2 linked regions of the Diceros bicornis minor genome follow. The protein of the gene in region 1 purifies or fractionates together with the protein of each later gene. This does not show direct contact. Links are inferred from orthologs where the notes say so. Each region holds a gene or a part of one and is shown in the gene's direction. Other genes may lie near its edges. The genes, in order: NLRX1 and MAVS.

What was found.
Region 2: the proteins of NLRX1 (region 1) and MAVS purify together in Homo sapiens (affinity purification with western blotting; 4 studies listed by BioGRID and IntAct, with this or other methods). This does not show direct contact. The link is inferred for Diceros bicornis minor from reciprocal best matches to the Homo sapiens genes NLRX1 and MAVS.

Annotation. Positions count from the first base shown.
Region 1 is NC_080746.1:17,830,616-17,846,053, reverse strand, and holds the start of NLRX1 (NLR family member X1), read left to right. Parts: upstream 1-8,476; 5' UTR 8,477-8,626; intron 8,627-8,736; 5' UTR 8,737-8,843; intron 8,844-9,175; exon of another isoform or gene 9,176-9,212; intron 9,213-10,889; 5' UTR 10,890-10,947; coding exon 10,948-11,017; intron 11,018-11,570; coding exon 11,571-11,640; intron 11,641-12,110; coding exon 12,111-12,199; intron 12,200-12,754; coding exon 12,755-13,374; intron 13,375-13,768; coding exon 13,769-14,590; intron 14,591-15,438. Other genes in the region: ABCG4 (ATP-binding cassette sub-family G member 4), read left to right, coding at 6-129, 255-369, 563-705, 1,580-1,678, 1,904-2,072, 2,165-2,265, 3,406-3,564, 3,726-3,844 and 1 more.
Region 2 is NC_080758.1:32,223,191-32,238,036, forward strand, and holds the start of MAVS (mitochondrial antiviral-signaling protein), read left to right. Parts: upstream 1-6,497; 5' UTR 6,498-6,536; intron 6,537-6,766; exon of another isoform or gene 6,767-9,174; intron 9,175-9,926; 5' UTR 9,927-9,980; coding exon 9,981-10,097; intron 10,098-10,989; coding exon 10,990-11,164; intron 11,165-12,372; coding exon 12,373-12,545; intron 12,546-13,298; coding exon 13,299-13,455; intron 13,456-14,846.

The DNA of each region.
Region 1 (15,438 bases):
GACAGTGGTCTGGACAGTGCCTCCTGTTTCCAAGTGGTGTCTCTCATGAAGTCCCTGGCCCAGGGGGGCCGTACCATCATCTGCACCATCCACCAGCCCAGTGCCAAGCTCTTTGAGATGTTTGACAAGGTGAGTGTCTCTGGACCTCAGTGATGACTGGCCTGTAATGGGGACAGGGAAGGGGGTCAGGAGAGGTCCTGGTGGGACCTGCCTGGTCCACTGGTCCTGTTTTCCTCACCCTTCTCTTTCCTCAGCTCTACATCCTGAGCCAGGGTCAATGCATCTTCAAGGGTGTGGTCACCAACCTGATCCCCTATCTGAAGGGGCTCGGCTTGCACTGCCCTACCTACCACAACCCAGCTGACTTCAGTGAGTGGGGCCCTGTTGGTAGGGGCTGGGATATGGTGGTGGGTCAAACCTGGGGGCTTGGGTCATGTACTCAGGGCTCCTGGGGGCAGAGATCTCACTGTTACCTGCCTTCCCCACACACCCAAGAAGGGGCTGGCTTGCCTTGGGCACCAAGGATAGATCTTAGCTGACCACTCCTCTTTGTGCCCTCCAGTCATTGAGGTGGCCTCTGGAGAGTATGGAGACCTGAACCCCATGCTGTTCAGGGCTGTGCAGAATGGGCTGTGTGCCATGGCTGAGAAGAAGAGCAGCCCCGAGAAGAACGAGGTCCCTGCCCCCTGCCCTCCTTGCCCTCCGGTGAGTAGGGGAGGAGAGGGCAGAGAGTGGAAAACGAGGGAGGGGAGACAGGACCATGGCCCTGCCGAAGAGGCTGTCCCCCAGAGGCGTCACAACCACTGGGTACTAGGAAGAACCCAGGACTTGGACTAGATCTACTATTAACAGCTGTGTGGCCTTGGGCATGTTATGTAACCTCTTTGAGCTTCGGCTCTCTTGTTCATTTATTTGTTCAGGAAATTCTTACCGAGCATCTGTAGTGTGTTGTCCTCAGTGCCGGCAGTGCCATTGGTAAGCAAGACAGATGTTGTCTCTGGGCTCGAGGCCATTGTGGCTTACTGTGATCTCTACCCTGGAGGTGGTGAGACTTCCTCACAGGGTTATTGGCAGGACTAATTAGATCATCACTTAAGGCTCTTCGCAGTGTAGCTGGTACAGATCAGTGCCAGCTCTCTTCCTTAAATGAGATACTATAGCCCTTGAAAACTGGAAGAGTTAGTTATTGCTGTTGTTGTCATCATTATTATCATTGTTCAATAATATTATTGTGAAACTGGTGGCATACAGGTATTATACCCTTAGGATAAATGCTTTTCTATAGATTAAAGAGGAGAAGTGACTGATCTCCTAGTAGCCCCCACAGGTGTCCTTGACTCCCTTTCCATCTCCTCCCTCTGAAGTTTTTACCCCTTCTTGTGTCTCTCTCCGAATCTTGCTCTGATTCGCTCCCCTAAGGCTAGCTTCTAGGTACACAACTCAAGGGTGGAGAATTCTCCTTCAGTAGACCTGAAGGACCCCTGCCCTGGGGAAGGGCTCAGGAGTTTTCCCACTCACTGAACTGGGTGCACAGTGGATGGGTGGGGTAGGCTCACTTGATCCAATTTCCTCTCCCCAGGAAGTGGATCCCATCGAAAGCCACACCTTTGCCACCAGCACCCTCACACAGTTCTGCATCCTCTTCAAGAGGACCTTCTTGTCCATCCTCAGGGACACGGTGAGGCATCAAGTTGGGGGAGAGGAGGCTGGCATAGGCCTGGCTTTTTGGGACATAGGATCCCAGCAGCTGGGATGGGGATGGGGTCCTTCCCCCAGCAGCCGCACCAATGCACCTGTGGGTTTATGTGCCTGTGAGGGCAGCTCCGAGTTCCTACCCCAGTGTGCCCTGCCCATCCGTGGCCTTTGACCCCTCCCCTCTCCTCGTGGTGACCCCCTCGCACAGGTCCTGACCCACCTACGGTTCATGTCCCATGTGCTGATCGGCGTGCTCATTGGTCTTCTCTACCTACACATCGGTGACGATGCCAGCAAGGTCTTCAACAACACTGGCTGCCTCTTCTTCTCCATGTTGTTCCTCATGTTTGCTGCCCTTATGCCAACTGTGCTCACCTGTGAGCTGAGCTGCCCTGGGCGTGGGGCGTGGGGCATGGGTTCTGGGACCTGGGGTGTCAGCCAGCTGTGCCTAATTTGCCTGTGTCCTCAGTCCCCTTAGAGATGGCAGTCTTCATGAGGGAGCATCTCAATTACTGGTACAGTCTCAAAGCATATTACCTGGCCAAGACCATGGCTGATGTGCCCTTTCAGGTGAGTCTCTTCCTCCCACCTGCCCAATGCCTCCCTCTTGTCCTGCTCCTTCCATCCTTGCTTGCTTGCCTCCCTCAACCTTGTCCCCTGCCATCCTTTCCATTACTTCCACTCACTTAGCAAATAGGTAGTAAGTACCTACTGTGCACCAGGCTCTGAGCCAGGCACTAGGAATACAGCAGTGAACAAGATGGACATCGTCTTGACTTTGTGGAACTTATGGTCTAGTGAACTGGTTTGACATCTAGGAACTGACGACAAACCAAACAGAAATAATGAAAATAATAACCCTACAAATGACTCTCTAAATCTTATTCAAGGCAGTAGCGGATAGTGTCAGCTCTGGAGCCTCACTGTGCTTGTTAGCTGCAAGACGTTGGGCAAGTCACCCAATCTCCCTCTGCTTCAGTGTCCCCATCTATAAAATGGAATGATGATATTATCTACCTTGGGGTTGTTTGGGAGATTAAATGAGTTAATACATGTAAAGTACTTGGCACATAAATAAATGTTAGCTGTTTTTTGTTGTTGTTGTTGCCACCACCTCCCCGTTCCAAGCATGAGGGCCACCAATAATCCATAGGGCACCATTGTGCAAATTAGAAAAAGGTGCCCCTTCCTCAGGGTGGACGCGGCACTGTACAAGGGGGCATGGCTTAGTGAGAAGAGCACTGCTGGGCCTTGGCCTCTGGTCGCCTCTTGGTTGGGTGCCCTTGTGCAGGGAACAACTTGCATGACTGCACACAGTGGGCTCGGTCCCTGCTCTCCAGGTTTTGATAGCTCAGAGGGGGACAAAACGCTCTCATATGTAGATTAGTTAATTAACTGTATAAGGAATAAGCTGGTCCAGATGAGAAGGATTTAGAAGCTCAGAGGACAGAGAAGTCACCATGCCTGAACTGGTCAGTATGGGCCTAATGGAAGAAGTGAGACTGGAAGATGAATGAGGTTCATATAGCGAGGGAGGAAGGGGACATGTGTCAACCTAGGAGGACAGCATGAACCAGAGCGTGGAGGCAAGACTAGGCGTGGACACTCTAGGAATAGCTGTTCTAGAGGTCCTGCCTGGGCGGAGTGGAGAGTCTTGGCCACCATGCCTCTAGCTCACAGTCTGCTGCCCAGCCCTGTGCCCCTCCCCAGGTGGTGTGCCCGGTGGTGTACTGCAGCATCGTGTACTGGATGACAGGCCAGCCAGCTGAGAGCAGCCGCTTCCTGCTCTTCTCAGCCCTGGCTACCGCCACAGCCTTGGTGGCACAGTCTTTGGGGCTGCTGATCGGAGCTGCTTCCAACTCCCTACAGGTGGGAGGGCTGGCAGGTGGGGACCCCTGAGAGGGGTCTGGTGGGAGGAAGCAGGGGCTGGCACAAAGAGTGGGATGGCCCCGAGGAAAACCCTGGGCTCCCCAGTCCTATGTCTGTCAGGTCACTCCTGTGACAGCTTGATCCACTTCTCTCCCCTCCAGGTGGCCACTTTTGTGGGCCCAGTTACCGCCATCCCTGTCCTCCTGTTCTCTGGTTTCTTTGTCAGCTTCAAGACCATCCCCACTTACCTGCAGTGGAGCTCTTACCTCTCCTACGTCAGGTCAGTGCTCCTTCCCTCACCATCTGCTCCTAATCCTCCCTGCAGGAGGCCATGCCCCCAGGGATGAGAGACTTGCAGCTGGGCTCTGGCATTTGCCCAGGGAGCAGTGACCCTATGCTCTGTATCCTGCCCTGATGCCCCTCTTTGCCTAGGTATGGTTTTGAGGGTGTGATTCTGACCATCTATGGCATGGAGCGAGGAGACCTGACCTGCTTGGAGGAACACTGCCCATTCCGGGAGCCACAGAGTATCCTGCGAGCACTGGATGTGGAGGATGCCAAGCTCTACATGGACTTCCTGGTCTTGGGCATCTTCTTCCTGGCCCTGCGGCTACTGGCATACCTCGTGCTCCGTTACCGGGTCAAGTCGGAGAGATAGAGCCTTGCCCTGGCCTGCGCCCCAGCCCCTGCAGCAGGAAGCCCCCAGCCCCAGCCCTCTGGGACTGTTTTAACCTTGTAGACTCGGGCACTGGTTGCTGGCGCAGCTGCCCTCCCCTCTCTCGGCTCCTTCACAGGCTGGCTGTGAACTGCGGACTGTGCTCCCAGCCTTGGCCCCGGGAGCAGGGGCTCCAGCCCTCCCTGCCATGCCCAAGAGTCTTCCCAAGTCGATGCAGTTTGTAGCTTCCTCCCCACTCTCTCCAACATCTGCATGCAAAGACCACTAGGAGGCTGCCACCCTCCTTCCAGCCGTCCGCACCCTCCTCTGTTGTCTGCCTGGGAGCTCCAGGCTCTCCAGGCCCCTACTTACAACTGACCAAAGTGGCCCCTCTGGGGGTCCCCACCACACAAGTGTTTGTAAACTGGGGTGTTCTAAGGTTGGGGTTCCAGGGCTGGGCCCTGGTGGAGTCCCATGGAAGTCCCATTTGGATGCTGGAATGGAGCAGGGAAGGACTCTGGAAGTCTCTTCCTCCTCCTCACCTTCTCCCCACCCCCAGACCCTCGTTGATTCGGACAATCTGCTGGGACAGAAGCTGGGTTTTCTGTCTGGGTCATCCCTCCCAATCCTGGGGATTGGAGAGGCCTGGGGCCATGGGATGCCACATCTCCTGTCCCATCACCCTTGGTGGGGGCAGGGCCTGGTGGCGCCTCTGCAATAATGTCTGTGTTTCTCTCTCACCTGCCACTGGAACTGGAGAAAGCACTTTATTCTGGGGCATGAGTGGGAGAAGACCCAAGCCTCCTTTCTCTGCTCCTGTGGCATGGTCCTGCAACGCTCCCTCCCTTCTCCAGAGTTACAGGCACATACATGGGAAGAGGCAATCTCAGCCCTACACACACTCACCGTCCCCTATGGCTCAGAGGAAGAGTGATGGTGGCATGCTGGTGGTGGGTGCTGCAGGGAGGGCAGTGCCAACCTCCTCCTGGGGATCCCGTTTTGACTCTAAGGATGAGGCTGGTGCAGCCCAGGGTGTCTCCAGGATCTGCAGGTGTCTACCCCCCAGTCTTCCCTCCCTCCCAAGCCAGGGGTGGCACAGAGCACTAGCTCCATGGAGTTCAGGACCCAACACAAGCACAAGCACGGGCATAAGTTGGCCTTGGCCACTGCCACCCCATGGACCTTCTTTTGTGCATCCAGCTGGCATTCTTACTCCCCACTCCGTCCCCAGCTGCTTGCTGCTCAGTCAAACTCCTGTCCGTGTCTCACCACCCGCTTCCCATCAACCAGGGTGGCCCTTGGGCATCAGAGCAGCATGCCCTGGGTACCAGGGTGACAGACACACCTAGAGCATGTCTGGCTTTCCTGGTGGGTCCAAGCTCATTCTATTTCTGAGTTCCCTACCCCCCCAGGCTCTTTCTCCCTTGTTCCTGGGCACATACCTCCCTACCATCCCGCACCCTGCCTTGGATTCCCCCCATGATGCAGAGATGCCAGTTGTATTTGTGGGATTTCACCCATTATTAATAAAACCTATATTTATACAGTATGCAGTGTGTAAATGTATGTGGGTCTGGCACCTGGTACCATGGGCTGTGAGGGGTCTTCAAAGTGCTTGGCAAGATGTCTGTGAGATGTTGGCTCAGGGCCAATCTTCCTCAGCAAAAAGAGGAAGATTGGCAATAGATGTTAGCTCAGGGCGAATCTCCCTCACCAAAAAAAAAAAAAAAAAAAAAAATCTGTGAGCTTTAGGGAGCCTGTGGCAGGGGACGGTAAGTTCTAGGTACACGTCAGGCTAGTGAATGTGTATCTCATGAAATATCGGTATCATGCTTTACATCTTACAGATACTTCATGTTCATTACCTCAAGGGACTCTAATGCTGACCCTGTGTTATCCCTCATGACAACACATTTTGCAGATGAGAGAACTGAGGCTTGGGTTAAGTAACTTGCCCAAGAACCTTCAGCTGACAGAGGTGGAACCAGGCCTGGGAACCAGGTCTTCCGCCTCCAGACTCCTTGTTCTCGGTGTTGGCCAGAGATGTTGCTCATGGTGAATCTGCAAGCTGCATATGGGTGCCCTGTGTCTGCTGCAAGAGTATGTTCTTGCCTGAGTGATGCATGACTCTCTCTTCAGAACTCACTGAGCCCCAGTTGTGCCTATGGAGGGGGGGAGGTTTGTGGTCATGAAGGGCAGTGAGAAGCAGGAAAGACCCTGGAAGCTAAGTCCTAGGACGAGAGTGGCAAGGACCTCACTGGGCTCACCGCAGCTTTCCCTTTTCTTCCTCTCTTCTTTCCCACTGGGCCACACTTACCAGGGCCCAGCTATCAGCCACCAGGTCTGCAGATGGGTCTGGTGGCCTGAGGTTTGGAGTAGACAATTGTCCAGAAGGACTTGAGGGCTGGTGGCAAGATGACCCAAGAAGCAGCACATTGTCTCTCCCTCTTCCCTCCTGATTCTGAAGCTTGAGGACTCAAGGAAGGGACTGGCATCAATCTGCCAGCTGCCTGGAACACCCTAGTTGTGCCACATGCAGAGCTAAGTGCTCCAGGCTGGATGAGCGTCCAATCTATGACTGGTTGGGTGCTTGCCTGGAGATAGGCTAACTTTGTTCCTTGTGGAGGTTGTGGGTGGGAGTGGGAAGTGGGAGAAAGTCCGAGTCCTAGCTTCTGGAATTCTAGTTAGCTTTAGGGGACATTCTGAGTGCTACCTTCTCCCTGGAATGAGGCCAGTAGATGGCTCCTTAAAGTCAGAGGGCACAAAATCCCATCATTAGACAGTCTTTGTTAAGATTCTTCATCTTTACTCTTTCTCCTTTAAAATGCAAATACTCCTGAAAGAGTAAAACACTTATAAATTCACACATTTGTAAGTTCCCTTGAGAGCTAAAGGAGACAAACAGCCATTCCGGAGCCAGCAAGGGCCATTCAGGCACAGAGAACATTTGTAGAGCGGCTTAAGTATCTGTGAAGAAAGCTCTTTTGATTCTTACAGCAACCCCATGAGGCTGCTAGGATGAGAATTATCATTTCCTCCTTTTACATACAAGGAAACTGAGGCTTGGAGAAACGTCTTGAGCAAGCTCTCAAGATACTGTGCTGTTGCACAGTATCTTCCACTGTGAACCACCTGTGATTTCTCCCGTCAGTCCCAGTAACCTGTGGAGGTGGGGCATAAATGCACTCTGCCCATCCAAGCATGTTTTGAAAGGGGCCCACTCTCCCTGAATGCCGACCTTCCTGGACTCAGAGATCATCATCTTCAACTCAACCACCTTCTGTGTCAGGGCCTGTGCAAGGTGCTGGAGGGCAGAGATGACTAAGGCAGTTCTCCATGCTATGGCTCTACAGCACCTATGGCTCTACAGCACGGGCGGCCCATCCAGAGGCCCACAGCATGACTCACAGTCCTTCTGTCTGCAAGAGGCCAGTCAAATTATATGTTATTAATAAAACCTACAATGGCTGTCACACCTGCTGGAAGTGCGGGGGAGGGGAACGACTTGCTCTGAGCTGTTTCCAGTAACTGCAGCCAGGGGCCTGTCTGCCTCACATGGCTAAGCAAGTAGAGTGTAGCTAGAGGAGTCCCCCAGCCTTGAAATGTCACCCCGAGACCACATTCGTAGCGTTGCTCTATCTCCCCTCCGCTCATCCCATTCTACTTCCCTTTTAGAACTTCTCTTAAAACGAAAACGTGCCATTTCTCTGCCGCCTGGAATGCTCTCCCTTCCCTGACTTATTTTTCAAGATCCAGTTCAAATGTCATCTCCTTTACCAGAGGCAGTTAGTAACTTCCTCTCCCAGCCTTTCCTGAGGTTTCCGGCAGCCTCCAAAGTACCATCGCTTGTGCTCCCTGGAGGGAGCTGCTATGGTCTGGCCCCTGCATGCCTTCTTCTGGTTGCTCAGCACTAGCCCAATACCATGTGTTCAGTGAATGAACAAATGAAATATCAACACTGTCTTCAGTCTGGATGGAGGGCAGAGATCTTCCAAGCCCTCCTTCCAGCCCTGCCCTGAGGTGCCTCTCTACGAGTTCCCTATTGCACACCTCGGTTCAGTGCACATTGCAAACGTATGTTTGCATGTGGAGGCGTGCCCTGGCTGTGGGTGGTGGGTGGCTCCTCCATCAGCTACATGGGCCCTGCGTGTGCCCCGTACGGAGGCACAGAGATGAGGGTGGGGGCTTCGAGGACCAGGAAGCCCCAGGGCGAGGCCATGATTGGGTGTCAGACAAGAAGAGCAGGTTTGGGTGGGAGCTGTCCCTCAGCCCCTAGTCTTCCTTATTCCTTGACCAAAGCCACCAGAAGCCATACACAGAGGTCTGGGGTCTGAAGAGAGTCAGGTACACAGGGGAGGACCCAAGAAGGCCTTGACTCAGATCTTTGCCGAGAAGTAGGCTGAGGAGGTGAAGAGGCACGGAGGGAAGAATGCCCTGGGGGCGCATGGGTGCCTCAGGAAGGCCCGGGAAGGAGGAAGGAAGACCTAGGCCCCGGATTCTTGTTCTGGCTCTTCCAGTTCCTGATTGGGTCAACCTGCGCAAGTCATTTCACCCTTCTGAGCTGCAGTCCCATCATGTGTAACACGGACACCACAGCGAGCCCTGCCTAGGAGGTGGTAGTGAGGTAACCGGATGGGCCTGGCGCTTGGCAGCCTGCAGAGGGCAGTCCTAGCGGCAGGGCCCGCCCGGATGGAGGGCTGTACCCGCGGAGGGCAGGGGCGCTGGAGGGGCGGGTGGGGAAGTCCCCGCCCCGGGCCTACTTCCCGGGGCACCCGGCCCCTCTCGCTGTCCGTTCCTCCCAGGACCCCCGCAGGCCGCGCGCGCCTGGGCTCCTCCTCTCGGTGCCCGCTGCCGGGGCTTGATGCCAGGCGGACAGAGACGCGCAGGAAGCGCCGCGCCGCGCCGCGCCGCGCCGGGGCCTCTGGGAGCAAGCGAGAGACGCCGGCGGGCGACGGGCGACGGGCGACGGGCTCCCGGGCCCCGGCAGCCGCGGGTAAAGGCCTAGCTGGCTCTGTCGCCCCTCGCTCCAGGCTGGGCCGCTGCGCTTGGTGGGGGCGGGGGCGGGGCGGGGGGTGCTGGGCAAGCGCCCCTGGGGGTTCGCGGCGGGACGGGTAGGACGGAGCCGTGCGCTGCGTGGTGGGCATTCTGGCCGGCTCTCCCCTTGGGCTTTGAAGCCAAGCGGAACTAGGAGAGCTGTTTGGGACCCAGTTTGGGGGATGGAGCTCTGGACCCGCGGGACCACAGCCCCCATACCTTTCCTGCTTTGCCCCTCCCTTTCTCACTGCCCTGGAGACCTGGGGTGATTTTCGGAGAATGGCCCTCACCACCCCCGACCCCCCACCCCCTCGCAAGTCCCATCTTGAGTCGGTAGCCCTGGTAGCCCTGGATCTGATGTTATCCCGCGGAGCTAGTTTCCTCAAGCTTTCTTAGCTTTCCAGGGCCCTCTCTTAAGCCTTCTCCAGCCCCTGGGTCTCCTGCTCTCAGCCCCAGACTGCCCCTCCACTGCTGGCAGGTGGGCCCAATGCAGCTGGTTCTCCTTAAGTGTGCCCTCCCCTTAAGGAGCCACATCTCAGTGGAGACCAGGTGCCAAACAGTAGCACACTCCATTTAAGGGAGCTCAGAGAGATCAGGAAAGACTTCCCAGGAGAGAGAACCTTTGAGCAGGGTCTTAAAAGATTGGGTAGCATTCTGACAGGAGAGAAAAGTCATTCCAAACTGAAGAACGTGCATGAACAAAGTTAGGAAAGTGCAAGCAAAAATTCAGTGAGCCTGGCGAATGAGGTGCCGGTCGTGGGCAAACTCGAAAAATAGCTTGTGAGGGCCAGGTGTTTGGACTCTATAGTAACCCAAGATTTTAGGGAGGCCACTGGTGGCTGGGATAAGGGATTGGAATGGGATGAGACTGAAGGCAGAGGCCAGTAAGGAGAAGGGGGTCCCGGAAGTCCCAGAGGGTCTGATGCAATAGGAACAGGCTGGCAAAGCACTGGGAGGAGGAAGCAGTAGGATTGGTTCCACTGTCTGAAGGCGGGAGGATTTAAAGACTAAGAGGTCAAAGTTCTAGTATTAATTGTGTGATTGGAAAGATCTGCAGTAAAGTAAATAAAAGGGGAGGGGAATGATGAGTTCAGTCCTGCATGCGTGAAGCTTGAAGCACCGGGGCCGGATGTCCATATGGAGATGTCAAGTAGGAAGTTCATTCATTCATTTATTTATTGTTTATGCCAGCCTCAAAGGCAGCTTATATAAAAGTCACAGAGAAGATAAAATGATAAAAACACTGAAACTCAGCTAAAAGGACCTGATAGCGAGGGAAAAAAATGCAGAGGGAAGTGAATAATTGTTACTGGAAAATGTTGGCTCAGAAAAGCCACTGAAAATGAACACAGGACTCACCTGAGTTTGCTGGCAGCCAAGCAAAAAAAGGACATCTAAATAAAGCAGTTCACTAGACTGGAACTCAGGGGAGAGGCAATAGGTGGTAGGAGATAAAATGGGATTATTCAGGTGGGGGATGTGGGAGAGGGAGGAGATCTGGAGGCCAGGCCAGGGCTTTGGCAATGCTGGCATTTAAGGAAAGGCTGACGCTCTCCTGAGGAGGAAGGCCTGCACGGGGAGGTGGGAGTGGGAAGGTCGGGGTGTGTGTGGTCCGTTCATACCATTCTTCTTGCAGGGGAACAGGATAGAAGATGGTGTGCTAAATCCCCTGGGCTCTGACCTTCTTTCCCACCATGAGGTGGGGCCGCCATTTGCCCAGGGCCTCTTGGGGCCCTGGTCTGGGTAGAGCATTCCAGGCAGCAGGTGAGCAGGAAGCAGGGGTTTCTGTTTCTACTTCCCTTTCCTCTTCAGAGTCCAGATGGTGCCTCCAAGAGAGGAGGGATCCAGAGACCAGGTGTGCTAGTCCCAGCTCTGTGATTCAAGGCTGTTGGCCTTGGGCGAATCACCTCACCTCCCTGAGCTTCCTTTTTCCCATCCTAGGATAAGGGAGTCGGACTGGATGATCTTTGAGGGTCCCTGTAGCTACATAAGTCCAGGAACACTTGTCTGATTTTATTTTGCATGCAACAAATATTTACTGAGTGCCTGCTATGTGCTAGACCCTGTGATAAGTTCTGAGTATATAATTATGAACCAAAACAGATGTGATCCCTGCTCTCATGAAGGGGGGTAGTGTACGGAAATGAATGTTAATCAAATAATTACACAATGAAGTATAAATTTGCATAATTGCTACAGAGAGGCGGTACATGATGCTATGAGTAAATGTTGGGGGATTTAATGTAGATGTGAGGTCTGTGTATTGGTGGGGAAATGTGGTTGGGATCTGGATGCTATTTCTTCTTTCTCTCTGTAGATGAACGTTTCTCCTTCCTGATCCACTGGAGTTGGCCCCTTAAAAGGGAGCGTCCCCTTGAGCCCCCTAGGTGAGGCCTCAGTGTCATACCTTAGAACACATCTGGGCACGGCAGAGTAGCTTGGGAAGGGTCAGACCTTGAGAGAGCTTGATCCCTGGGGGGGAGGTTGGTCTTCTGGGGGTGGGGAGAGTATAGAGCCAGCTACCAGGCCTAAGAGGCAGTTGACTTACATCATCTACAGCACAAGTCACAGTGGTTAGCCAGAGGGAGGACCTGTGGGAAGTGGGTGGGGTCTGGCAGTGGCCACCCTGAACTCCAGGCAGGCAGTCAGCATTGGGGAGCTGGAGGGCTAGGGTTGAGACCTCAGTCTCAGGGAAGGGTCTGAGAGTTAGACAAGGCTCTCGACTTGAGTATCCAGGGTCAGGCCTGGCTCTCAGAAAGCTAGAAGTCCATCAGTCCAGACAGGCCTGGACTCTGAGCCTGTGCAGAGGCTGAGCCCAGTAGCCAAGTCCCAGCTCATCCCTTCTCCTTGCTCTTAGGGTCTTTATACGCCATCACGGAAGCTCAGCGGACAGTGGTCCCCCATCAGGGAGGCATGGACAGTTGTTCCGGGGTGCCTCTGCAGCTGGTAAAAGGACTGGCTCCTCAGTGAGCCTGAGGAGAGGGGCTGGCTGGGATCCCAGTGGAGGGTGGGGGAGAGGGGCCTGGAGGGAGAAGCAGGCAGGAAGAAGGAGGCATAGAGGATCCACTGCCATCATCCATCAGTGGGACCATCCTCCCTCACCCCATCATCCATCTGTCCATGTGTCCCTTCCTGCAATATTCGTGCAAAGCACACTTACTGTGTACAAAGCACTTGGAAGGATATATCATCCCTAACTTGCCACAAACTGGGTCCAGCAGTCAGGTGAAGATTACATATAGATAACCGTGCAGCCAGTCAGCCCAGGCTCAGCATCACTCGTCCTGTGGCTCCCCACTTTCTGCCACAGGGGCTCCAAACTTTCTGGACAGTCTGTATTTTCTGAAGGAGTCCTGTGTGCCCAGCACCATTCTAGGCCCCTGCATCTCCTGGTGCTGTGTCTTGACTCTGCAGTCTGACCGTACCACCACCCTGCCCAGTCCTAAGCTTCTGCATCTCCCTGCCCCTTCCCTGACCCATTCTCCTTGCCTTCCCATCTAGAAGCTATCCAGCAGCACCGCCAGAACCTGGCTGAGTGGTTCAGCCGGCTGCCCAGGGAAGAGCGCCAGTTTGGCCCAACCTTCGCATTAGACACAGTCCATGTAGACCCTGTGATCCGTGAGAGCACCCCTGATGAGCTGCTTCGCCCACCAGCGGAGCTGGCCCTGGAGCATCAGCCGCCTCCGGCCAGGCTCCCCCCACTGGCCCTGTCTCAGCTCTTTGACCCAGATGCCTGTGGGCGCCGCGTGCAGACAGTGGTGCTGTACGGGACAGTGGGCACAGGCAAGAGCACACTGGTGCGCAAGATGGTCCTGGACTGGTGTTACAGGCGGCTGCCAGCCTTCGAGCTGCTCATCCCCTTCTCCTGTGAGGACCTGTCATCCCTGGGCCCCGCCCCGGCCTCCTTGTGCCATCTTGTGGCCCAGCGCTACACGCCCCTGAAGGAGATTCTGCCTCTCATGGCCACCGCCGGGTCCCGCCTGCTCTTTGTGCTCCATGGCTTGGAGCATCTCAACCTCGACTTCCAGTTGGCGGGCACAGGGCTTTGCAGTGACCCTGAGGAGCCAAAGGCGCCAGCTGCCATCATCGTCAACCTACTGCGCAAATACATGCTGCCCGAGGTAAGTGGTCCCCTGCCCCGCCACCGCTGCCCCTCACTTGCCTCCTAAGGATTTTTGTGTCCTGGGCATGCGTGTTAATTGAGTAGGCGCATAGGCTCTGGGTTACTTCAAACCCTGCTCCTCCACTTCCCAGCTGTGTGTCTTTGAGGAAGTCACTAACTTCCCCAAGCTTCTGTGTCCTTCCCTCCTTGAGTTGTACTGATGAAATGAGATACTGCATATAAAGCGCTTAGCAGAGTGCCCTGGATCGTAGTAGGTGCTCAGTAATTGTGAATTTAATGATTATGGTCATTATCATCTTCATCCTTGGACACTCCATCTTCAGGGGCTCCCTGGGGAGTAAAGCAATCAGGACACCAAGGTCTCTCTTAACCCTTAGCTGTGCTCTTCCCAGGCCAGCATTCTGGTCACCACCCGGCCCTCTGCCATTGGCCGCATCCCCAGCAAGTATGTGGGCCGCTATGGCGAGATCTGTGGCTTCTCTGATACCAACCTGCAGAAGCTCTACTTCCAGCTCCGCCTCAACCAGCCAGACTGTGGGCACGGTGCTGGGGATGTGGGTGTCTCCACCACGCCGGCTCAGCGTGACAACCTGGTACAGATGCTCTCCCGGAACCTGGAGGGGCACCACCAGATTGCCGCTGCTTGCTTCCTGCCCTCCTATTGCTGGCTTGTCTGTGCCACCTTGCACTTCCTGCACGCCCCCACGCCGGCTGGACAGACCCTCACGAGCATCTACACCAGCTTCCTGCGTCTGAACTTCAGTGGGGAGATGCTGGACAGCACTAACTCCTCCAAGTTGTCTCTGATGGCCTATGCAGCCCGAACCATGGGCAAGTTGGCCTATGAGGGGGTGTCCTCCCGCAAGACTTACTTTTCTGAGGAGGACGTCTGTGGCTGCCTGGAAGCTGGCATCAAGACAGAAGAGGAGTTTCAGCTGCTGCATGTCTTCCGCCGGGATGCCCTGAGGTTTTTTCTGGCCCCGTGTATTGAGCCAGGGCACCTGGGCACCTTCGTGTTCACTGTGCCCGCCATGCAGGAATACCTGGCTGCCCTCTACATTGTGCTGGGTTTGCGTAAGACGGCTCTGCAGCGGGTGGGCAAGGAAGTGACCGAGCTCGTGGGCCGTGTGGGGGAGGACGTCAGCTTGGTGCTGGGCATCATGGCCAAGCTGCTGCCTCTGCGGGCCCTGCCTCTGCTTTTCAGCCTACTTAAGGTAACAGCCCCCATATTCCCTGTTCACCCCTTGCTCCTCTCCCAGAAGGAAACTGCTACTTCCTGCATAGCCATGAATCCTCTGCTTGGCTCAGATTTGGGCCATCTGGCTTTTAGTGGGATTGGGGCATAAGGAAGCAGGAGAGAGAACCCGCAGGCTGTGGAAGGTTTGGAGGCTGGGAGGGGACTTTAATAACAGTCCTACAGTCCTGACGACAGTTTTCTTTTTGCATCCCTCCTCCTAGTCTTCGTTGATGGGAGGCAGGAGTCACTATAGTCCAGGGTCTGTCCTCTGCTCTGCAGGCTCAGAAACTTGATTGTCTGCTCCCCCAGAGGTGATTTAGACTCCAGGAGTGATGACTCATCCTAGCTAAAGCACCAGAGACAGGTTTATAAAGCAGATGCCATTTTATTCATTTATACCAGGAGGATAAATGGCTTTAGTAATTGGTTTAGGACAGTCCGTCCAGGGTGCAGGTCCACTTCAGAAACCAAATTACAGGCCTGAGAACTGTGCTGTGAGCAGGGCAGATGTGCTAAGTTTTTGAGGGGAAGAAGGACCCACTCTCTGCCAGGTGCCTTGTAAATGAAATACTATTATGCTCCCTTTTATAGATGAGGAAATTGAGGTTCACAGGGGCTAAGTAACTTGTCCAAGGTCGCTCAGATAGTGAGTAGAATAACAGGAGTCTGAGTGCAACTGTGTGATTCTGAATCCTATGCTCTTTCTGCCAAACTTTACTGAGGTATTCTGAATATTTCTGTTAAGCTATGGTGTCTAGCTAGGTAATCCTGGTCCTCTCAGGGAATGTTTCAGTAATTGGTCTTGATGAGGCAGAGCCCTGGTCA
Region 2 (14,846 bases), on another chromosome or scaffold:
GGGGTGGCAGCAGTGGCCTCCTCACTTCTGACCATGGTTATGGTGATGTGCTCTTGAGCTCAGTTACTCCAGTGGCAGCCCCCTGACTCCTGTTCCTCCAGCCCCTCTCACAATTTTGTAACCAACTAATTCCCTGTATTAAATTCCTTCCTGTGAAAAAACTGACCATGTCAAGTGTTGGTGAAGAAGTGGACTGGACTGGAGCACCTGGAACCCTCAACACACTGCTGGTGGGAGTGTAAAGTGGTGTAACCACTTTGGAGAACTGTTTAGAAGCTTCGAATAAAGCTAAACTACCTGATCATCCAGCAATTTTTAAATGAGTACATAACTCCAGAAAAAGACATATATGAATGTTCATAGCAGCTTTATTCCTAATAGCCTAAATCTGGAAAAACCCCAAATATTCCATTAAACATAGAATGGATAAACAAAATGTGGTATATTCATGTAATGGAATCCTGCTCAGCAATGAAAAAAAAAAACCCAGATTCCTGATATATGCAACAGCATAGATGGATGTCAAAAACACGCTGAGTGGAAAATGCCAGACACAAAACAGTAGGTATTATATGATTTCATTTATATTAAATTCAAGAACAGGCAAAATAAACTATGATGATGGAATCAGAATAAAGATTGGAGGTGGAGATTGATAAAGAAGGACTACAAAGGAACTTTCTCGGGAGATGGAAATATTCTAGATCTTGATCTAGGTGCTGGTCACACAGGTATTTACTTGGATAAAAATTAATCAAGTTGCACACTTAAGATTGATGTATTTCACTGAATGTAAATTATGCTTCACGAAACAAAAGCCTTCCATGCACAAAACACCTGTGGTAGTTTCTTTTTTCTGCACTGAACTCCAGATCCTGGGGGAGGGGACCTAGGACAAGAGATAGTAAGAGGGGCTGAAATCAAGCAGGGCACCAGCAGTGTGGCAGGAAGCTGAGGCCACAGAGGGATGTGGCCAGGGAGAAGCCTCCTGCATTGGGGGAGGCCCATGAATTTTAGGAACTCTGATATTTAACTTTAAAGGCATGCCCTGCTCATGCACTCATTTCCCTGTCTTCACCCCCAAACCTCAAGTAAACGTCTGCTGCCAAGCCACCTATGTCAGTGGTTCTCAGTAAGGAAGGGCAGGATGGCAGCCCCTGAGGCAGGTGACCAGCAACACAATGCTCTGAGGCCAATGAGGAGGCCATGCTGACCACAGGGGCTGGACAGCCCTGGAGAAGCCTGCTGCAGCAGGGCCTGACCCAGGAGCTGCCCTAGACCAAGATCCCCCTCCTTCTCCTGAGACCACTAAGAGGTAAGGTGGGCTCATACCAGTCCCTGTTACGTCCCAGATCATGGCTTGACCCATCTCACGTGGCTGATCAAGGCAAGGGTGACCTCAGGAAACCACAGGATTCAGATACCTTGTAGTATAGAAAAGAAAATACTAGAAGAAAAGACACCAGAGTGTCACCAGTGGTTACCTTTGGGTGGTGGCATTATGAGTACAGATTTTGGTTTTCTTCATCAAACATTTCTGTTTTTCCCCATATTAACTATATATGCATATATTAATTTTTCCCCAGCTTTATTGAACATATATAACTTTTTTGTAATAAAATTGATGGCGTGGGGACCGGCCCAGTGGCATAGTGGTTAAGTTCGCGCGCTCTGCTTCGGTGGCCCAGGCTACGCAGGTTCGGATCCCAGGTGCGGACCTATGCACCACTTATCAAGCCATGCTGTGGCGGTGTCCCACATATAAAAAATGTAGAGGAAGATGGGCACAGATGTTAGCTCAGGCTCTAATCTTCCTCCCCCCCCCAAAAAAAATTGACAGTATGAAAAAATAAAATAATTTAAAGAATAACAGTTTAAAAACTTATTTGAAATGAGGTTGTAAAGGTAGGGATTATATTTTGTTTTTCAATGTTGGAGAGTTCCCTGAAGGGACTCAGACTGAGAACATGTCCCTTTTTGGGGCCCTCTGGCACTATCTTTGGGCCTGACTTGACTCTCTGGGGGGAAACGTGAGCTGGTGGTTGCTGAGTCATTACATGTGAGCCACAGCCCTCTGTAGAGCACTGGCCTGGGGATATGGGCCACCTGCCCCCGGATGAGCTTTACGGGGTGGGGGTGGGGTGGTTCCGAGGCCTTCCGGGGGGGGGGGCGGTGCTGGGGCACAGATCACTTTCTAGACTCACCTTTCACTAGTAAATGGACAATGATCAATGAATTCTACTCATGAAATAGGGCAGAATGCAATCAACAATAAAAGATAAAATAATATAAATAGCCAGAAAGGGTCAAAAGATGATTTTTAAATTTTAGTTTACTTTTTAATTTTCATCTTGAAATAATTTCAGACTTACAAAACAGTTGCAAAAATAATACAAATGTTTACATCTTATATAACCACAGTACAATGATCAAAACCAGAAAACTAACCCTGATACAAATTATTAACTAATCCAAAAGCTCTTAGTAAGATTTCATCATTTGTCCAACTGTTGTTCTTTTTCTTTATTCTTTTTTCTTTGTGAGGAAGATCAGCCCTGAGCTAACATCCATGCCAGTCCTCCTCTTTTTGCTGAGGAAGACTGGCCCTGAGCTAACATCTGTGCCCGTCTTCCTCTACTTTTTTATATGGGGTGCCGCCACAGCATGGCTTGACAAGCGGTGCGTCGGTGCGCGTCCGGGATCTGAACCCTGGGCCACCAGCAGCGGAGTGCGCGCTCTTAACTGCTACGCCACGGGGCCGGCCCCTGATGTTCTTTTTCTATTTCAGGTCCAACCCAGGGTGCCATGTTGCTTTCAGTTGTCACCTCTCTTTATTCTCTTTTAATCTGGAACAGTTCCTCAGTCTTTCCTTGTCTTTCATGGCCTTGACATTTTTGAAGAGTTATTCTGCAGTTCAGTGCTGTCCAATATAACTTTAACTGTCCAGTAGAACTTTCTGGGATGATAGAAAATTATAAAATCTATATCTGTGCTGTCCAATATGACAGCCATTAGCCACATGAAAATAGCATTTGGAATGTGGCTTGTAGGCTGAGGAACTGAATTTTACATTTTATTTAATTTTAATTAAAATAGCTACATGTGGCAAGTGGCTGCTATATTGGACAGGACAGCTATTGAATGTCCTTCATTTGGGGTTTGTTAGATGTTTCTTCATGATTTGCCTCCAATTGTGAGTTTTAGGAAGAATACTATAGATGTGATGTTGTGTCCTCCTTTGGTTCCCTGACAAAGGTGGCAGGAAATCACCAAGGCCAGGATTTTTACTGTGGCAAAATATACATAAAATTTACTGTTTTAACCATTTTTAAGTGTACAGTTCTGTGGCATTAAGTACATTCACATTGTTGTGCATCCTTCCCCACCATCCATCTCCAGAAGTTTTTCACCTTCCCCAACTGAAACTCTCTATCCAGTAGACACTAACTCTCCATTCTCCATTGCCCCCAGCTCCTGGCAACCAGCATTCTACCTTCTGTCTCTATGAATCTGACTACTCTAGATACCTCATAGAAGTGGAATCATACAATATTTGTCCTTTTGTGACTGGCTTATTTCACTTAGCATGATGTCTTCAGAGTTCATCCATGTTATAGCATTTGTTAGAATTTCCTTCCTTTTTAAGGCTGAATAATGTATTCTATTGTATGAATATACCACATTTTGTTTATCCATTCATTCATCAATAGACATCTGGGTTGCTTCTACCTTTGGCTGTTGTGAATAATGCTGCCATGAAGACGGGTGTACAGATATCTGTTCGAGTCCCTGCTTTCATTTCTTTGGGTATGTATCCAGAAGTGGAATTGTTGGATCATATAGTAATTCTATTTTTAATTTTTTGAGGAACCGCCATACTATTTTCCACAGCAGCTGCACCATTTCACATTCCCACCAGCAGTGTACAAGGGTTCCAATTTCTTCATGTCCTTGCCAACACTTTCTGTTTGTTTGTTTTATAATAGCCATCCTACTGGTTGATATCTGCTATAGACTGAATGTTTATGCACCCCCGCAATTCCTATATTGAAACCTAATCCCTAATGTGATGGTATTTGGAGGTGAGGTCTTTGGGAGGTGATTAGGTCATAAGGGTGAAGCCCTCAAGAATGGAATTAGTGCTTTTTTATTTCATTTTATTTTTATTTTATTATTTTTTTTTGTGAGGAGATCAGCCCCGTGCTAACATCTGCCAATCCTCCTTTTTTTTTTTTTTTTTTTTTTTGCTGAGGAAGACTGGCCCTGGGCTAACATCTGTGCCCATCTTCCTCCACTTTATATGGGACGCCGCCACAGTATGGCTTGCCAAGCAGTGCGTCAGTGCGCTCCCAGGATCCAAACTGGCGAACCCCGGGCCGCCGCAGCGGATTGCGCGCACTTAACCGCTTGCGCCACCAGGCCGGCCCCGAATTAGTGCTTTTTTAAATGAGACCTGAAAGAGCTCCCCTGCTCCTTCCACCATATGAGGTACAGTGAGAAGACTGCGTCTATGAACCAGGAAGTGGTCCTTATCAGACATGGAATCTGCAGGCACCTTGATCTTGGACTTCCCAACCTTCAGAACCAAGAAATAGATGTTTGTTGTTTAAGCCATCCGGTCTATGGTATTTTTGTTAGAGCAGCCCAAATGGACTAAGAAAGTATTGTGTTTTTGAGGATGCTGTATTTTTTTAATACCCTTCGAGTTCCAGCAAAGACAGGGGTGACAACTGCATTTGGAAGCCAGTCGCTACACTCCCAATGTTCTTCCTGCAAGAATTAGATATGAGGTCACTGGATTTGGGGTAGGTAGCAGGCAGGAGTAATTCTTGAACCAATCAACATTCACCCTGTCTTGGCTAAACAAGACAGAGCTGGCCAACTAACCTATGGTTAGTTGAGTTCAGGTGTGATATTAATATTTTGTAAATGCTGAACATTGTGAAATAGCCACAGGGTTACCAAGTAAAGTAATAAAATCTCACATGAAAAGAGTTCAGGCATCTTCCTGCAATTCGGTTTGGGAGTACTGGCTTTGGAGACAGGTATGTACTCAGGCATTTGCACATGATCTCTGCCAAATCTCTTAACCCCTCATTTGTCTTTCTTTCTTCCTTTTTAAGTTGCAGTATAAAGTGTAACAATTTTTTTGGTAACAATTTTAAGTGTAAGCTGATGCATTTTTATATATGCCCAAGCCCATGTACCCACCACTCACATCAAGATATAGAACATTTCCATCCCCCTAGAAGGCTCCCTTCTACCCCACCCCTCAACACCCAGAGGTAACCAGTGAAATGATTTCTATTTATGTAGATGAGGTTTGCCTGTGTTTGAATCTTACCTTGTAACTGGGGACAGACAGCAGGTACTGTTTGTGCTTGGCTTGGTTAGTCATGGTGCCCATTCATCCTGGTAAGATTCTTCCATGTTGTGTGTATCAATAGTTTGTTCTTTTTCACTGCTGTATGCTATTCCATGGTGTCAGCACACCACAGTTTGTTTCTCCATTGTCCTGCTGATGGACATTTGGTTGTTTCCAGAGTTTGCCTGTTGTAGATAAAGCCACTATGAACATTATCTATTGTGTGTGTTTCTAGGTGGACACATACTCAGGAGTGGTTGCTGGGTGATAGGGTTGGCATATATGTAACTTTAGTAAGAATTGCCATTTTCCCAAATTTTTTAACCTCTCTTGAAAACGGGAAAAATAAACCTCTACCTGGTTATTGTGAGAGTATTTAATGGGTCATAAGGTATAAGACTTTAAGCCTGTACCTGGAACATAGTGAACGCTCAGTAATTGCTGACCTCTGCCCCAGAGGAATGGTGAGGCTGTTGGCAAGCAGTGCAGGGAGGTACTGGCCCCAGACCCTTGCCTTAGGTGGAGAGGCCTTTCCCACACAGCACTCCGGGCCCACAGCCAGCGTGACTGGCGAGTCAACCTTGGCGCCCCTGCCCTGCACCACTTACCCGGCCCACCCCTACCCCGCCCCGATCCTGCTTCTTCAGGCCCAGCATGTGCCTCGCCTGGCTGGGCACTCGCGCCCCTGTGCACTTTGCTTGACACCCGAGGTTTACTGAGCACTAACTGTGTGCCAGGCCCTGGGCGCCCAGGAGCGAACGACATAAAGATCTTCACTCCCTCAAACTACTCCGCGGAGGAGGGGTTGCTTCGCGTAGGAAGCGCGGAGACCGAGGTGGCCGTCGACTCCGAGATCGGCCGCCCACTCGGTTTCTAGCCAGATCCTGGACTTCCCCTGGAAGTTGCTCGAGACAAAACAAGGAAAGAAAATAATCTGCTCCTCCGTGCCCCCCCAGGAACCCAGGTCTATCCCGAGCGCCCGTCCCGCGAGGCCAGGCTCTCAAACCACCGCCGAGCGCCGGGCGCCGCAAGGCTCTCGCGGGCCGCGAGCCCCGCCCCCGCCGCCTGGCCAATGGCCGCGCGGCCCGGCCCCGACCCGACCCCTCCCTCCCTGTGGGGGAGGGTTCCGGGCTGTCAGCGGCGGTCGGTCGCCGGGTCGTGGCTACCCGAGGTAAGCTGGCCGCCCCGGGCGCTCGGTCTTCTGGGCTCAGGGCGCACGGACGCCTTTCGGGGAGGTGGAGGTGGCCCGTGGCGGCAGGAGCCGAGGGGTACTTGGAGTCCGCCGGGGCGCACGTGGTGTGGGCGCGCGCGGGCCGGGGAGGGGGCAGGGCGGGAGGGGCTGGGGAAGAGTGGGACCTAAGGCACACGGGGCTTGAGGCAGCGAGGGCTCCACGCGCAGCATCCGGTACCGGGGTCGGGAGGTGGGTGGCGCGAGGCTTCTGCTCCGGATACAGCGAGGTTAGGCCAGGAGACTGGCGTCTGCTGCTGGGCTCCTCCAGCCGCCCGCAGGCCCAGGGTGACCCCGGGCGAGGCCTAGCCGGGGTGCGCAAACCTCTGGGGCCGCGGCCGCGCCTGGGGGTCGGGAGCTGCCGCCTTCCTCTGAGTCTTGACAGTTCTCGGTGGTGACACCTGCTCGGAAGAACAGCCTCCCCGTCCTCCGCGAAGCTGGGTCGGGCCCAGGAATCCAGGAATCGGAGCCGAGGTTGTGAGGCCTCGCCCCGCCCGCGGGGGTGGGTATTTCTTTCTGGAGCGCGCTCAGAGCCTCTGGGGCGGTCAGGTGGGAAACTCTCCTTGCCGCGTCGGTCCAAAACACTCTGCCAGCCATCTCGGAGACGCGACGGCGGTGCTAGGAAAACATTGGAAAACAAAAACAACCTTCTCCGTATGGATACTGTGGAGCCTCAAAAACGTCTGGAAGAACAGTCAGCGACCTTGGAACCGCGGCGGGCAGGGTTAGTGTCCTGCCCTGCCTGAAAGATTTCCATTTCCCACGAGAGAGAAAGGAATAAATGTTGCATCCTCTGAAGGGCACCCTCACCCAGGCAGCGGCCTTGGCCCCTCCCAGGGCTTGAAGCCAGGTGCTGTGTGACTCATACTTGCTGCAGGGGCGTCTATGCCCTGCAGTGTGTATGGTGAGCCTCAACGAGGCAGCAAGTCCTGGGTTCCAAGTCCTTTCAGGGCCACTGGTCAGCTGTGCAACGTGGCATCACTTCTCCTCTCATGGGATTGTGCCAAGGATTAAGTGAAAGAAACTTAGGATGTGCCTGCTTATAGTGGACCCTCAATAAATGTGAACAGCTACGGGCTTCCTTTCTTTTTGGTTGGACCGCATCATACCCCCATACCCCCCAAATTCTGTGCCTTACGGGCTGAGGCTAGGATGCAGAAGAATGTATCACTCGACTCTCTCCTGGTACCTCCCTGGATGCCATGGGGGGAAGGAGAAAAGGGTCTATTAGCCACCACAGAGTTGTTCTTTGCTCATCTGAAGTCTCAAAGGACCCCTGCCCCCACCATCCTCCTGACCTCTGTCATTAGCAGTTGCCCCATTAGGGATGTTGCGATACATTCCTGGTGGTTGGCAAAGTGAGTCATGCAATGTGAGGCTGTGATGCTGGTAGACAGGACTGCTGCCCCATTTCCCATGTGGTGAGGGATTGGTGGCCTCAGCAGCTTTTGGGCACTCTCTGCTCTGCAGCACTGTCTCCTAGGGGTTTCACCCAAGCCTGACACCCATGTTTCTACTCCAGCCTGGCACTCTCTCCTCTGCCGCCCCTTCCTTTCCTGAAAACCCACTGGGGCATCCAATAGCATCTCAAGCTTCACTTGTTCAAAATGGAACTCTGGAGTCCCCTCTGTGCCACTGCTCCTCTGCTAGATTCTTTGGACCAACCATCCACCCAGTGCCTGAGGAGTCACCCTTGATTCTTCTCTCTCCCTCACCTCCACATCCACAAAACGCCAAGAATCCAACCACCTCTCGCCATGGTTACCATCTCAGCCGTACCTGTACCTGTCGTGTGTCCCCTGCCCTGGCCTCCTGACTTGTCTCCCTGCTTCCATCCGGCCCCTCCACAGTCCAGGGTCCTTACAGCCTCCAGAGAAGTCTTTAACATAAGTCAAATCCTCTCCCTTCCCTGCTCAGATCCCTCCAATGGCTTTCTTTTGTACTCCAAATAAAACCAAAGTCCTTTCCTATAACACCCTACGTGAGTGGCCCCTCCCAACCCCTTAACCTTGATGTCTACCCCTCCCCCTAGCTTTCTAGACCTCCACCACACTGACCTGTTTTCTAACCTTTAAACATATCAAGTTCATTTCCACCGTAGGACTTCTCGCTTGCTGTGGCCTCTGCCTGAAACACCGATCTTCTCACAGCCAAGAACAGCTCAGCTCAAACGTTGCCAATGCAGAAAGGTTTCCCTGACCATCCCAGTTCAAGCAGCACGCCCTTCTCCAGGGGCTCTGTCTCATTACCCTGCTTTGGTTTCTTTATAACCTTTTTTTTTTTTTTTAATTTTATTTATTTATTTTTTCCCCCAAAGCCCCAGTAGATAGTTGTATGCCATAGCTGCACATCCTTCCAGTCGCTGTACGTGGGACACGGCCTCAGCGTGGCCGGAGACCTTGATTACTATCTGGGATTCTTGTTTATGTATATGTTTACTGATTTGCTATCTGTCCCACCCCAATAGAATATAAATTGGATGATGGCAGAGGTCTTGTCTGTCTTATTCCCTGCAGCTCTCCCCAGTGAGAGAGGCAAATAAGAAACAAGGAAACAAACACATCTGTAATCGCAGACTGTGGTAAGTGCCACATAAGCAAGCAGCAGCGATGGCCTGTATTCGAGGCACTTTGAAATTTCAAGCTTGTAAGGCTGAACTACTGTATCGTCCAAACAAGCTCCCTGAGCCATTTTATGGGTGAGGAAAAGCCTGGAAAAGACTGGTAACTTGCCCCGGCTCACACAGTGAGGGGAACTCAGCCTCCTGCCCTAAGAACATGTATATAGCAAGCTTTAAGAGTGGACCTGCGGTCGTGCTCTGCAAAGAACATGATCCTGGATCTGGAAGACCTCCGTTCTTTGCTCTTCCACTAACTAGCAAGCCCCCTTAATTTGTTGGTACTTCGTTTTATTCACCTTTAAATTAGGATGGATCCTGTTATTATCATGTTGGGCGTCATCTTCTTTTTCTTCCAGTATACCCCAAAGAAGCAGCCCTTCTAGGTGGAGCCCTCTTGTTGTCTTTGGCTAGGGCACACACAGACCTGGGGAGGATGCGGGGGAAGCCAGAGCCCTCCCCAACCCTGACCAAACTGCAGGGCAGAAATGGGCCCTGGATCTTCTGGATCTGATTATTTTGGGCTCCTCAATTTGTTTGTAAGCAAATTCACAGAGGGCCTCTGGGACTCAGGCAGTCATAAAATAGGATGATTAAAGACAAAAGCAAAAGTTCCCAAGAGTTGAGAAAGAAAGAATTGCCTTTTCTCCAACTCCATGCCCAACCCCGTTGCCATGTGTGGGCTGTTTTCTTTCATCTTTTTTCCTCTCTCGCAGTCCATCCACCCGTCACGGGCCAGAGCCCTCTGTCACTTCAGAACCTGGACAGAAATGACATTTGCCGAGGACAAGACTTTTCAGTATATCCGCCACCATCACAGCACTTTTCGCAATATCCATGTTCTGGAGATTCTGCCTTACCTGTCCTGCCTCACCGCAAGTGACCAGGTGAGCCAGGGCGTGACAGCCAGCCACTGATTGGAGGCAGGGCTATGGACTCCAGAGCATTACCCAAGCCAGGGCCAACTCCTTCCTTCTCCCTCTCCTTGACAATTTTCTAAGTTTTGGAATGAAGTGTGGTTCAGGGTGACCTTTCCAGCTTCGCTGAGCTCCCTCTGGTGTCATTTTGGTGTAGTGCTCAAAAACATGGCGCTGGCTCTCTGAGATTTCCGGGCTCCGGTCCCCTGGCCCACTTTTATCAGAGCCTTCTTTTTCTTCATCTTTCTTGTCCTTGTTCCTGCTCAGTTTTGATTCCATTCTCCTTGTTATGGGACCCCGTTTTGAGAGTTCATGAGAGCCAGACTGCGCTAGCGCCTCAGAACTTGCTGTGGGCCCCTAGTGAAGTGGGCCAGACCCCCGCTCAGTTTTAGCAGTTCTCAGATCGAACCTCACGGCTCTCTGCTTCCTCCACGCAGATCCCAGTAGTGCTCAGGTCTGTGCCTGATGGGGTTTGGCTCCTCCCTCTTCTATTTTGGGGTTTGTAATGATACCTTGTCCCCTCGTTCTGCAGTAAATGTTTTCTACTCTCTTGTTGTTTGTATGTGCTAAGCCTCAGTTTTCTCCTCAGTAGAGTGGGGTAATAATAGCGTTAAATAAGATAATTCACATGAAGTCCTGAGCGCAGAGCCTAGGACACAGTAAGAGCCTGTTTCCTGGTAGCTACCTTGAAACTTAGGCTCAGCCCTGGCCTTGTCCTGCACTGCGACCCAGTTTCAGATGGCTGCCTCTCTCGTGCTTTCTCCGGGGCACCCCTCTGCAGCTGTGGGGGAAGCTGAGTGGGGAAGGAGGCAGGGCCGTCTGGCTTGAGCCGGGCAGTGGGGTGTGTCTTCCTGTCTTCCAGGACCGACTGCGGGCCACCTATGAGCGCTGGGGGAACCAGGACACCCTCTTGGAGCTCTTCAACAGCCTTCGGCGGCGGAATGGCTGGGTGCATTCCTTCATCGAGGCCCTGAGGGCCTGTGAGCTGTCTGGTCTCGCTGATGAAGTGGCCCGGGTCTACCACAGCAGCCTGCCCCGTGAGCCTCCTGCCCCGGCCCTCCTCCTGGAACCCCCTCTCTGATTCCCCTGGCCTCCGCTCTGCCTGTCCCCTTACCCCTGTCACTTCTGTCACTCTCCCTCCCATCACTCCTGGGCAGTGGACAAGCCTGGGTGTAGATCCCAGGCCACTTATTAGCTGTGTCCTTTTAGCCAAGTCTCTTAATTTTCTTGAGCCTCAGTCTTCTCCTCTGTAAAATGGGGCTAATGGCAACATCTAGGTCGTAGGGCTGCGGTGGATACCATGGGGCGGTGGCATGTTGAGTGCTTAGCTGGCGCTGGGCACCTCCCATGTGCTCAGCAAATGGAGCTTCCTCTAGTTTCTGTGGCTGTGACGTTTGCCTCCTTTCTGACTGACCCCTTTCTCACTTCCTCCCATCTCTTCTCTCTCAGCTCACCTTCCCTCTCTCCACTCCTCTCTTCTCCTCCCCTCTCTTCACTGCCTTCTCTTTCTCCTTCTTGGGTTCCTTCCTTCCTTTCCGCACATCTCTTCGCCTCCCCCTGGTTTCCCTTAGAACCTTCTTGGTTGCCCACCCCCAGCGGTCCAGTTACTCCCCAGCTTCTTCTCAATGCTCCCTGCCAAGTGCCCAGAGGGGATTTGATGACATCAGGTCTGAGAGGCCAAGACAGGAAGAAAACTCAAGCCAGCCTTATTTGTATTTCAGACTAGAGGCAACTCCTGAGACCCTGCTCAGATTTACAGCCTTAGAATATCCGCACGTTTGCCTTTTTTTCCCTTCCTTTCCGTTCCCTACTCCTATCCTTCCTCCTAATGTGTCTCTTCATTTGTGGGGGGGGGGGCCTGGGATGGGGTAAAGGGGAGGGGCTGAGGAGGCAGCATCAGGTCAGGGGTCAGTTGGTGGTGACAGCCACCCACAAGGAGGAGAAAGCCACTGGGTCCCAGAATGCCTGGGGACAGAGAAGTGGTGACTGCTGACCCAGTCTGGCCCATGAGGCGCCCCACACGCTCCTGCCCCACTCCTGCCTCTCCTTGTCCTCCCCAATTCCTCTCTCCCTCCCACTCAGTGAAGCTTGTCTCCTCTGAGGAATGCATCCCACATCAAGACACCTTTTGGAGCTGTGGGGAGCTGATAGCCATGGACCTGTGGGTCCAAGAACACCCAGGCCTCTCCTGTCATTGGGAGCAACCCTGAGTCCTCCTTGACATTGCTATATATTTGTCCTCCAGGGACCTCGAACCGCCCTGCAGCCCCACTGGAGCCACCGTCAGTTCCTGCTGAGGTTCCAGGGCCCTCCATACCCACCGTGGCCCCCAGCACCCCCGCCAATGGCTGCAGAGAGGAGGAGCCAAGTTACCCCATGCCTGTCCAGGACACCCAGCCGCCGGAGTACCAGGAAGAGGTGCGTCCTCACAATCGACCTTGGGCTCCCTGCTTTTGTGTTCCTATCTGCCACTTCTGCTCACGCAGCCTTCCAGAAGCCCTCCCCTTCCCCCCAACAAATCATGCCTAATCTCTGCTCAGAACCTCCGGGCTCCCCTAGTAGGGATCTACCCCAGACCGGCTCCTAGACTGCCAACGAGGGCTTTACCCTGTGGCAGCCCCCAGCCCTCTGTCATCAACCAGCTGTGAGGTCACAGTTTTGAGGTCTTTGCAATGATCATGTGAGATGTTGAGCTGGGTCAAGGGACCAAGGGATGACCAGATGAGGGGGAGTGAGGAAGCAGGAGGTGCTGGGGTAGGGGGGGATAGTAGAGCTGTAGTTATTGCCAGTAAAGTCAAGTTTGGGGGAAAGATGACCAATTCTATTTAGATATGATAAGCGGGCAGTGGGGTGCCCAGGAGACACCAAATTGTGGACTTGAAGCTCAAGAAGGGTGTTTGTGCGGTGGCCACAGAGAGGGAGACTTTCTATAGGGCCAGACAGATGGATGGGAACTCCCCATGGGATGGTGTGTGTGTTTTCTACTAGGTGGGTTCAAGGTCACCTGTAGACAAAAGGTCTGGCAATGATGTAAGCCGAGGCAGGGGCTTCCTTGGTTCATGTGCTCCATGGCATGGGCTGAGGCCTGTAGGAACCGCCCCATGAGCAGAAGCTGCCCTTTGCCGGCTCCTGGGAGAAGCAACTGCCTTGTTCACATTTTCCCTCTTGCAGAGTTCAAGGAAAGCCACACAGATACCCAGCTCTGGGGCTGTCCTGAGGAGGCCAGGTGGCCCCCTGGAGCCCTCCTCTGACATGGGGGCCCCCAGCCCTCTGACCTCCAGTGGACCTCAGGAGCAGGACACAGAACTGGACGGTACCCACACAGCAGGTATGTGTGGACTCTGGAGTTATAGGGCCTCTCTGACCTCCCAGTGAAGGTAAGGATTAGAGTTGCCCCTCTGGCTTCCTTGGACTCCTAGAAGGCAAGGGTGGGAATAAAGGGAGTTCACCCCGGGGAGCAACCCAATTCATTAGAGGGTGTATTGGTTAGCATTTGCTGTGTAACAAACACTTCCAAAATTTTGTAGCTTAAAATATGACTATTTATTTAGCTCCTGATTCTGTGGGTCAGCAATTTGGGCTGGCTCAGCTGGGCAGTTCTGATTTTGGCTGAATTCCTCCTTGTATACAGAGCAGTGTACACATAAGCTCTGCTTGTGGCTGTTGGCTGGGGCACCTTGGTTCTCTTCCATGAGTCTCTTATCCTGCAGCAGACAAGCCCATTTCATGGCAGCTGAGCAGAGTTCTGAGAGGGGGTGGGGCTCCTGGGGCATAGGCTCAAAACTGGTACAGTCTTCCTCCTGCCTCATTCTGAGGGCCAAAGCAAGTCACAAGGTCAGCCCAGAGCCGAGGCATAGGGAAACAGACTCCAACCCTAGATGAGAGGACTGACAAAGTCACATCATGAAGGGCATGAATACACATAGGGAAAGAGAATTAGTGCCGCTTCTGCACTCTGCACTCTACTGAAGGAACTCTATAGGGACCCACCAGGACCCGGAGGACAGTGCAGGAGGGAGAGTACAGGGCTGGGCCAGCTGTTGGCAGGGGAGCCTGTAGGCACTATCCTATCCCAAGGGGTCTCTAGTTCCCTGTGAATCACTGAAACTTCTCAGCCCCCAGAGGAAGTATGGTCTTCATCAGCCAGGGCCCTGGACCCCCATACCAGACCTCAGTGCTCCCCCTTGGAAATATAAAGCTATTCCCTCTGACCTCCCAGGCTGGTGTCTCTCTGCACTGATAATTCCCAACTGTGTTCCAAATATTACTGGTGCCTGGCCAGGCCTCAGTGCCCCTGGGACAGCCACAAGGCACATGAGCAGTTAAAGGCTCAGAGAAGCCATCTTAGTGCCTGACTCTCCTGTCACCCCAAAACTCTGCACCATGCACGCATTTGCACTTTGCAGTGTCAGATTGCCATGGAACATGTTTCAGGAAATACTGCCGTGGACCAGGCAGACAAAGGGCACTTCGATTTCAGTACGTGCATGGACACAGGTCCCATGAGGTTCTGTGGTGTTAGATTTGGGATGAGAGGCGCATCAGAATCACTCCTGGCCTTTGTCAGCTGTAGGGCCTGGCACGTGTGTTCTCACAGTTTCATGGGGAACCCTGATATAACTGCCTTTATGGACTATCACCACCAGCTTCCTCCTGCTTCGCCCAGTTCAGGCCCTCCTCCCAAGGGTGGCTTTGTACCTACATCTCGCGCAAGCCCAC